Caenorhabditis elegans: one gene and its partner. The protein of the gene in region 1 interacts with the protein of each later gene in a biochemical or structural test. Each region holds a gene or a part of one and is shown in the gene's direction. Other genes may lie near its edges. The genes, in order: gck-3 and wnk-1.

Region 1 (4,859 bases):
ATGTAAAATTTCGCTGGAAATTACTGGTAGAAATTCCCCCTAAAAATGAAGAAAATCGATCGAAAGTCTTCAAAATGAAGTATTTTTACAAAAAAAAAAAACAGCGAAAAGCTGGATTTTTTTTGGTAAATAAACTATTTAGAAAATCCAGTTTTCGGACTAAAAAGACTCTTGTAAAAATACGATTTTCCCCAATTTGAAGGTTTTTTTGAAATGAAATTCTAGAGAGAAATTGGCTGAAAATGAACTTTTAGCGCGCAAAAATTTCAATTGAAACTTAAGATATCCGTAATTTTTACTATTTGGAGCAAAAATCCAGAAAAACACCGTCGTGTAATTATTAAAATCTCAAAAATAATTTTTAAGCTATAAAATCTCAATTTCCCGAGCTAAAAGCAACACGTTTTTTAGCTCAAAAATTGGATGATTTCAAGCCTGAAAAATCTTTAAATATTGTTCGGCCTTAAACCAAAATGTTCAACGGAGCTGAAAATTTTGTTTAGCGAAAAAAACATTTACGTATATATAACTTGGAAATTTCTTTGGAAATTGAATTTTTAAGCTCAAAAATCCAGATTTTTGAGTCATATTTGAGTGAAAACTTCCTTTTTTTTTCCTCTTCAACTGACACTGCAACTTTTTCCTCACGAGGGACGAGGAAAAGTGGTTTCTAGGCCATGGCCGAGGGGCCGACAAGTTTCAGCGGCCATTTATCTTGCTTTGTTTTCCGCCTGTTTTCTTTCGTTTTTCATCGATTTTTTCGTTTTTTCTTAATAAAACTGATAAATAAATATTTTTGCAGATGCTAAAACAATTTCCAAGTAAAAAAATTATGTATTCAGTGGGCAAGCAGCGGTGAAAGTGGTCAATGTAAAATGATGGATTACGGGAATACAAAACCTAAACTTTTTCTGAAACATGATACATATGCTGCTTAAATGCTGAGACTACCTGATTTTCATAACGAGTCTGCTGAAAAAGTTTTGAGGTTTCCAAAATTCAACTTTTTTGGTGAAAAAGTCGAGATTTTCGCACAAAAAGTTGAATTTTGAAAACCTCAAAACTTTTTCAGCGGTCTCGTTATGAAAATCAGGTAATTTCAGCATCTAAGCATCATATGTATCATGTTTCAGAAAAAGTTTAGGTTTTGTATTCCCGTAATCCATCATATTACATTGCCCTCTTTCACCGCTGCTTGCCCACTGAATACATAATTTTTTCACTTGGAAATTGTTTTAGCATCTGCAAAAATATTTATTTATCAGTTTTATTAAGAAAAAACGAAAAAAATCGATGAAAAACGAAAGAAAACAGGCGGAAAACAAAGCAAGATAAATGGCCGACTTGTCGGCCCCTCGGCCATGGCCTAGAAACCACTTTTCCTCGTCCCTCGTGAGGAAAAAGTTGCAGTGAACTATCGGACCCAAAATTAGACTGTGATTACAAAAAGTTAGTTTCCAGCCGTTTTTTTTTTTTTTTTTCAAATCTACTATATCCTTAATGATATTACTGATTAATGATATCAATTAATTTATTAATATTGTATTAAAAAATTTCAGAGTCTCATACGTGTGTTGTCCTGTGTACATCATCATCATCATCAACAATATAAATTAATATATAATAAATCAAAAATATAAAAAATGAGCTCTTCGAATCTGGCAGGAAACACGAATACTACAACTACATCATCAGCAGCTTCTGCAGCAGCTGCTCATTCAGCTGCAAATGCTTCAACAATAACATCAGAATACTCGACAACACAGACAACAACTGGAACATTTAACACTGATACATTATCGAGCATCGGATCAACGTCGACACTTCATGGTGCTTTTTTGGATTTTTTTTGCGGTCGAAAAATGTGAAAAATGGCAATTTCTAGCTTGAAATCTAATAATTTTTCCGAAGAAAAAGTAGAAATTTCAATAAAAATTGGGGTTTCCCGATTATTTTTGCAGGTCCAGTAAAATTTAATTTTTATTTAAATTTAAAAAATCGAAAATAATTTTTTTAAGTTAAAAATGAATTTTTAAAGTAAAAATTACATCTTTCTCCTTCTAAAGTTGGTATTTTGTGAGGAAAATAATTAATTTTTACAATAAAATTGAAATTTTCCGGTACAAAATGTATTTTTTGCTTTGAAAAATTGGTTTTTTGGGTATAAATAAATTTTTTTTGTAGGAAATTGAATTTTTCAACGGAATTGAAGTTTTGTAGTGAAAAATCAATTTTTCTCCTTAAAAAATTACATTTTTGAGAAAAAAAAACGAATTTTTACGATCAAATTTAATTTTTCTAATAAAAAATTCGATTTTTTTTTGCTCTAAAATGTACAATTTCTTCATGGAAATATAATTTTTTGGCGGAAAAATTCGATTTTCACTCTAAAAATTTAATTTAGCTGAAAAATTTGATTTTTCACATAAAAAAAACCAATTTTCACTTGGAAAACCCTAATATTTTCAATTAAAATCAATTAAATTTATAAAATCTACATTTCCGATTTTTGTGAAAAAAAAACAAATTTTTTTAATCGGAAAAATTGATTTTTCAAGAAGAAAAAAAGAGTTTTTCCTGTGAAAAGTCGAATTTTTCAACGAAATCTGTTTAAAAATGTCATTTTTGAGTACAAAATTCAATTTTTACTCTAAAATTTTCAATTTTTGTCGAGGAAATATGATTTTTTAGGCAGATAAACTCTATTTCTTCATTTGAAATTTATTTTTACTCCAAAAATGTTTTAATTTAGTTTAAAAATTCGATTTTTATACATTTTTTTTTGTTTAAAAAAAAAACGTTTTTCCCGGTAAAAATTACCTTTTTAAATGTGTAAAAAGTCGAATTTTTCAACGAAATTTAATTTTTGAGCTGAAAAAAAATCGAATTTTCTGCTTAAAAATTACATTTTTAAGTACATACAACATTGAATGTTCCATGTAAAAATTTTCAATTTTTACCTTAAAAACCAAAATGGTTTTTTGAAAAAACCAAAAAAAAAATTACAAAAAAGGTGAGAAAATTCAAAAATCGCGCAATTTTTAGGCCCAAAAAATGAATTTCACCCCTAATTTTTTTGTTGTTGCAGGATCACAACCATCCCAACCACCACCACCACCACCACCTCAAGTATCATCACCGATTGCGGCAGCTGCAGCAGCATCAGCTGCACTTGTTGCACAGCTTAATCCGGCCGATCGATGGCCAACAGAACCGTCGGCTTATAAGTTGGATGAGTCGATTGGAGTTGGAGCAACTGCTACCGTTTTTACTGTATGCTGCTTCTTTTTTGACTGAAAATTACAATTTCTATGTCAAAAAAAGCCGAATTTTTAGACAAAAATTCGGGTAAAAAAACGCAAAAAAAAATCCACTTTTTGTACTGAAAATCTCCGGAAAAGTGGCGAAATGGCGAAAATTACAATTTCTAACCGTCAAAAAAAATTTTTTTTTCTAAAAAAATTAAAATTTCCCGCCAAAAAATTTGAATTTCCCGCCGAAAAATTTTTTTTTCTCAGAAAATTTGAATCTCCCGCCGAAAATTTTTTTTTTCTCAGAAAATTTAAATTTCTCGCCAAAAATTTTTTTTTCTCAGAAAATTTAAATTTCCCGCCAAAAAAATTTTTTTTTCTCAGAAAATTTAAATTTCCCGTCAAAAAATTTTTTTTTCTCTCAAAAAATTTGAATTTCCCGCCAAAAAATTGTTTTTTCTCAGAAAATTTAAATTTCCCCCGAAAAAAAATTTTCGACGGGTCTCACCACGAAGTGAGCCGTGATTTTCCTCTCAAAAATGAGCAAAATAACGAAAAATCCATCAAAAATTGAATTTTTGCGTAAAAATTCCACATTTTTCAACTGGACACCTTCAGAAAAACGAATTTGAATCTGAAAAATTCAATTTTTCAGCCAAAATTTTAATTTGTCTTTGGAAAAACCCGGAAAAATCGCTAGAAAACCCCAAATTTCGGCGGGAAATTTAAATTTTTCCGAAAAATCTCGTTTTTTTCAAGAGAAAAGTGGTGAAAATGTTGATTTTCACCTAATTTTACTTTAAGGTGGTGAGTATCGAGACTTTTGTTTTATTAATGTTTTATTAAAATTGGTCCAAAACTACCGAATTTTGTAATGAGACGTTCTGAAAATTTCTCAAAAAAAAAGTTATGGCGGTTCGGCCGAATAAAGCTCATTTTTAGCTAAAATCAAAATTTTTTCCAACTTCTCAGTGCCACAATACCTGGAACCTAATTTTTATTTATTCATCACTTTTTAATAAATATTGTGGTTTTTGAGTGGGCGTTTATTCGTTGATTTAAGTACATATGTCAGTGGGGCACAAATAAAAGTTAAATTTTGTACCCCAAAGACCATAAATGTACCTAAATCAACGAATAAACGCCCACTCAAAAACCACAATATTTATTAAAAAGTGATAATTAAATAAGAATTAGGTTCCAGGCATTGTGACACTGAGAAGTTGGAAAAAATATTGATTTTAGCTGAATATGGGCTTTATTTTGCCAAACTTTGAACCGCCATAACTTTTTTTTGAGAAATTTTCAGAATGTCTCATTACAAAATTCGGAGATCTGGACCAAATTTGGGTCTAAAAAAGCAAAAGTCTCAAATTTCGGTCGGCTCTACCTTTAAAATTCCCACAATTTTTTTGCAGGCCTACTGCCTTCCACGAAACGAGAAAGTCGCCATCAAATGCATAAATCTGGAAAAGTGTCAAACATCGGTTGATGAGCTAAGTCATGAGATTCAGGCAATGTCCCAGTGTAATCATCCGAATGTTGTTAGCTATTATACATCATTTATTGCACAAGAAGAACTATGGGTTGTTATGCGTCTACTCAATT
Region 2 (5,073 bases), on another chromosome or scaffold:
TTTCTTCAATTTCTCGGTCAACTATTAAAAGTGACCATTGAACGATTTTTGAGTTTGAATAAGCCGTCATTGATGTCGGTGTGTCGGAGAGTGAGAAATAACGAAAAAGTAAACACTGTATCATCCTCTAGAAGGTCAAATCACGTGAAGACACTCGTCAGTCACAAGAAGAAAATGAAGAATAAGATGAAGAAGACGATGGTTATGATCTGATGATAAGGAAAGTGATTACAGTGGGGGTGTAGGAGTAGGGTAGGCCGAGGGGAAAAAGAAAAGGCGAGAAGAAAAGAAAGAAGAACAAGTAAGTATCATGACAACATTCAAACACTGCCTCATAGTCACACGAGAGTTCGTTTTTCCCTATTAAAAAAACATAATTGTGCTTGTGATTGTTGCAGCAAATGTATCATTCTCCAAAATCACATGATTTTCTCAGTTTTTAGTTAGAATGAATATTCTCCTGGTTCATATAGCTAAAACAGAAATCTCTGCAATTGTTACTGCTAGTTTATACTTTTCATAGTCTTCTCGAAATTTTGTTTCTTTTTGATTGCATTGTATCTGATTGAAAGGTTTTTGAAATTCTTGACATATTTGCAGGTTGAGGTGAATCTTGGTTTTTTCGTTCGGCACGTTTTAAATAGTCATTTTTCAGATATCACAGATAAGCTGAAACTCAAGTGACAAACCTCATTCAGATACAGTAATTCATGTTGACCACACAAATCTGAATATTCACATCTTATTTGTTTCACCAAGATGGTTGTTTGGGGTGTCTGTAAATACTTGAAGTTATGCAACTTTTATCGCATTTTCATGCTTTTTCTAATAGGTTTTAACCTATTTTCAAATGACATTGCCACATTTTAAACTTCGATCCAATCACTTTTCCCTGTCGTCTCCTACACTTTTATCTTCATGTCTTCACAAATTATTGCCAATCAAAACTCGGGTTTTGATGAGTCAAAAGAAACATGTGGGCTAATGGACTGCCACTGTTTGCAGCCACTTGTCTCAAATTGGCTGTAAAGCTTCAGAACCTTCAATTTTCGAATCGTGATGATGTCATCCAAGTTCCATTTTTGGAATGCATTCTAGTTTTTAATGCACCCTTGAAGTGCTAAACTTCAGTCTTTTTCCAGGCTGCGTAATATTATTGAGAAACAAATTTAACCAATATTCCGAGTTCAATTTTTCCGATTTTTCCCGTCTGCACAAACCATTTTGCAAACCTTATCAGTTAGTAATCTACATTTTTCACAAATTTCTCTTACAACTATTCTTCTCGAATTTGTTTCTATGATGTGCCAAAACCTGGAAGTATATTAATATTTCCCATGAATACATAATAGAACATGTCATTTTTATAATCTCTCTCTCTCTGTTACGTCTTGCAAAGTGTGTAGTGTTCCTGCAGAAAAGACATTTATAGATTGATATTGATATCAAGAAATATCATAAAGATAGTATAACATGACAGACGGCTAGATAGACACACATGGACACTGGTCAAGGCCGGTGTGTGCCATTCATCAAGGGTGCATGCTGCCTTTTTTCACCAGTTCATTGTTAAATCCTAGAATTTGAAAGTGCGCTTGTTGCTTAGGTGTTTCAATTTCGCAATTGTGTTTTGATCGATCTATCGTTATTCAGAGTTGCTACACGTTTAGTACGCTACTTTTTATCACTCCCTCGATGATTTAAGCCCTTGCGGGACCATTATCTAATCTACGTGCCTATATGTTTTCTTCAAAGATTGATAGATTTTAGTTAAAATCCTAACTCTTTTTCGGTATTTAATACTTCTAATATATAATTTCATAATTACTTGCTCACCAGCACATTCTAGAAGCTTATTATGAAATCATTATTTTCTTTAATTTTTCAATTATTTCTTCTCAACGCTATTGTTCTCAAAATCTGTTTGCAACCTTTTAAAATAATTTTACCAGTTTTCAGACCGACAACGCACGGGCTCTTCGCTTGATATCCGGACATAGAAATATGCAGATATCATCCAATTTTTAGTTGACACCTATATTTAAAAAGTCTTTGTCAAGCAACAGTATCGATCGCATTCATCAATAACTACAGTAAATATCTATATATCAAAAAAGTCTCCCAAGAAGAAGAAGCAGCGAACTGTTTTCGTTTTGTCAAATCGAGTTCTTGTTTTTGTGGCTGATTTAAATTATACCGGAAAAATTCGATTGGAAAAGAAGGATAATTTGTAAAGAGGAAAATCGGCGGAAATCGTGAAGCGAGGACTACAAAATGCCTGATGTGAGTGTTTTTTTTTAATCTTCAAAATTTATAGTTTTTAATTGAATACAAATTGTATATTTTCATTAATACAAAAAATAGAAAATCAAAATGGGCCCAAAAATTCTACAATCTTCATCAAATTTGTGTTGTCAAACTAATTTTCACTAGGAAACAAAACCATGAATTGTACTTTGAATCTGTGGGCGTTTAAGCGATGAGAAGACTGGTACATTGGTTGATCCTCTTTTAAATCTACTAACAATGAATATTCTCTGTAGTTGAAAGCAGTTATGTCTGCATTTGGGTGGTCAGTCAACCGATTCTTTTTGGGTGCATACATTTGTAGGTTTAGAACTGTGTTTTGATGTTTTTAAATTTTCTAATTAAATAATTTAGCTAAATTATTACTCATAGGAAATTTCATTCGATTCTAATTGTCACTATATTCCTAGTTCCTGTATAAATTGGCATATAATATCGTAAATTATCGGCGATTTTTATCGGTTTTGTCTTCCCGAAAAGAAATAAGGGTAATTCACATTCATCTATGGATTTAGTCGAATCGTTTCTTCATTATAAGGACAAAGTCCATTTGAAATTTAATTTAGTTTTTCCTATTTTTTCTTATATCTTTCTTCTTTCTATTTCCGAATTTTATATCCCTATCAAAGTCAGCAAAATTTTGGCAATTTTCTTTTTATCTCACCGCTAAAATCACTTTGTGAAAATTGATTTTTGTTGATCTTGACTAAAACGAAAATCGAAAACTACAAAATAAGATAACAAAAAATCGTAGAAAGCACGAGTGAGAAATGGGACAAAAGATTACGATTTTTAAACTCGAAATAACTATAAAATCTGCTAAAAATTATTATGTTATTAATTTTGAAAGATGACAGTCATATGTAACAGATGTCGTAATATTTCTTGTAGAATGGTGAGCTGTTTAAATTATATTTCACTCCAATTAAGGACCCTGAAATTTAATTTGCTGAATAATTTATTCTTCAAAATTTAAGAAATTCATAACCTTTTTTCTAAACGAGCGAGATAAATTTGAAAAAATTTCCTATCCCAGTTTACGTATAACCGCTATTTTACTTAAAAATTCATCTGATTTTGCATTTTTAAATAGCCTTTAACAGTATTTGCAATGTTTTTATTACTGTGGGTGGTTGTTTTGTTGTTTTTGTTCCCGCCCTTTCGTCTTTCTCGTCTCATTCGAATTTTGGTGTCTTTTGATCAAAGTGATACTGAATGGAGAAGCACGTGGTAAACAGACGCAGACGACGGTATTAGACACGACGTCTTCTACCTTTTGAAGGCAAACGATGTGTCTATCGTTTGACTTGTTTCAGTCGTGTTGCTTCTACACTTCTCGTAGTAATTTTGAAACAAGAAGTGTCATCACACCTACCATTTTACCGCTAAATTGTAATTTTTTATTGAAATGATTATTGAATTTTCAATCTTAACGTATAAACATTTTTAGACGTTTTTAGTTTTATTGAGTATAGAAGCTTTCAAAATTTCTTTATGGAAATTTATATTTATTTTCCATTCGCCCGAAAACTTTTGTAGATTCGAAAAGTTTATGTATGTAGTAGTTTGAACTCTGTAATTCGAATTTACCAAACATGAAACGTTGGTTTATCTCGAATATCACACAACCCTCTAAGATATCACGTGATTACTGTTCCTTTTTTTTCAATCAAAAAATAGTATAGATGTATTGATTCAAAGTTATCATGTTTAAAAAACTGTATTATGTATTTTCCAACAAAAAAATTGCGTTTCCTGACAGTAACCAATGTTTTTTTGCAGTCTATAACAAACGGTGGACGACCACCAGCACCTCCAAGCTCTGTGAGCTCAACAACAGCATCGACAACTGGTAATTTTGGTTAGTTTTAGTCGAATTAATTATAAAAAAGAAGAAAATCGTCTTATTTGGTGAAGTGAAGTATTCATTCATCGATAAAATTTAAAAACCCTGGAATGTTCAAGTGTTATTGGACACATGAATACGTCAAGAGGATTAAGTTGACGTCGAATTAAAAATTGACGTTTTTTGAAGTGATAGAGAGAAAAGTACGATTTTTTGAAAAATGTTGTAGTTAAAATTGGCAGAAGTGTGATAGAAAAAAGATTATGAATTTAAAAGTTTATTTAATTTTTTAAAAGTTAATTCAATTTTTAAATTTCAGGTACTCGACGTCGTTTAGTGAATCGTATCAAGAAAGTCGATGAACTACATCCAGCACAAGAGAATCCCACGTTAGTTTTTGATCTCTTTTGAAAGTTTCTGATGGTCGTGGAAAATTTGAAACTCTTGTTAAAACTTTATTCTTGATAGTGCAAACGTATGCATAATTTTGTAAAAAAAAAGATTTTGGCCGAATCATTATACAAAACTAACCTGAATATATTTCTATTCTCACCCATTCATAACAATTTTAACTGGTCATGTGAGCATTATCGGTAACTTTTTTCATCTTTTTTAGGACGAAAAGAGACGAATGGACAGTCTAACTGTATCTATCTCTCTCTCAATATCATAGATTTATGATGAGGAGGAAATTTCAGTTTATGATTTGATTTGAAATTCAAATTTTATTTTTTCCCTCTCCCTTCCCCATTGACATTTTCTACTATCCACCTCTGCCAACCACGCATTCCTATTAAAACCGCCAACTGCTTCTAGAAATTTTGACTGAAAAACAGTCTACATTGCCGTTTTTGCAAATTTTAAATGGAATTTCCGATTTCCAATGATTTATTATTAGCTAGCAGACAATTACAGACTAG

What was found.
Region 2: of the proteins of gck-3 (region 1) and wnk-1, one has a biochemical effect on the other in vitro, tested with the Caenorhabditis elegans proteins (one study listed by BioGRID).

The regions. Positions count from the first base shown.
Region 1 is NC_003283.11:17,963,548-17,968,406, reverse strand, and holds the start of gck-3 (Germinal center kinase 3), read left to right. Parts: upstream 1-1,643; coding exon 1,644-1,830; intron 1,831-3,088; coding exon 3,089-3,273; intron 3,274-4,669; coding exon 4,670-4,859. UniProt on the Caenorhabditis elegans protein: Plays a role in osmotic stress responses by regulating ion homeostasis and by controlling cell volume via the phosphorylation-mediated inhibition of the chloride channel clh-3.
Region 2 is NC_003282.8:9,198,157-9,203,229, forward strand, and holds the start of wnk-1 (Serine/threonine-protein kinase WNK), read left to right. Parts: upstream 1-1,949; 5' UTR 1,950-2,274; coding exon 2,275-2,283; intron 2,284-4,089; coding exon 4,090-4,168; intron 4,169-4,472; coding exon 4,473-4,542; intron 4,543-5,073. UniProt on the Caenorhabditis elegans protein: Serine/threonine-protein kinase component of the WNK3-SPAK/OSR1 kinase cascade, which plays an important role in the regulation of electrolyte homeostasis and regulatory volume increase in response to hyperosmotic stress.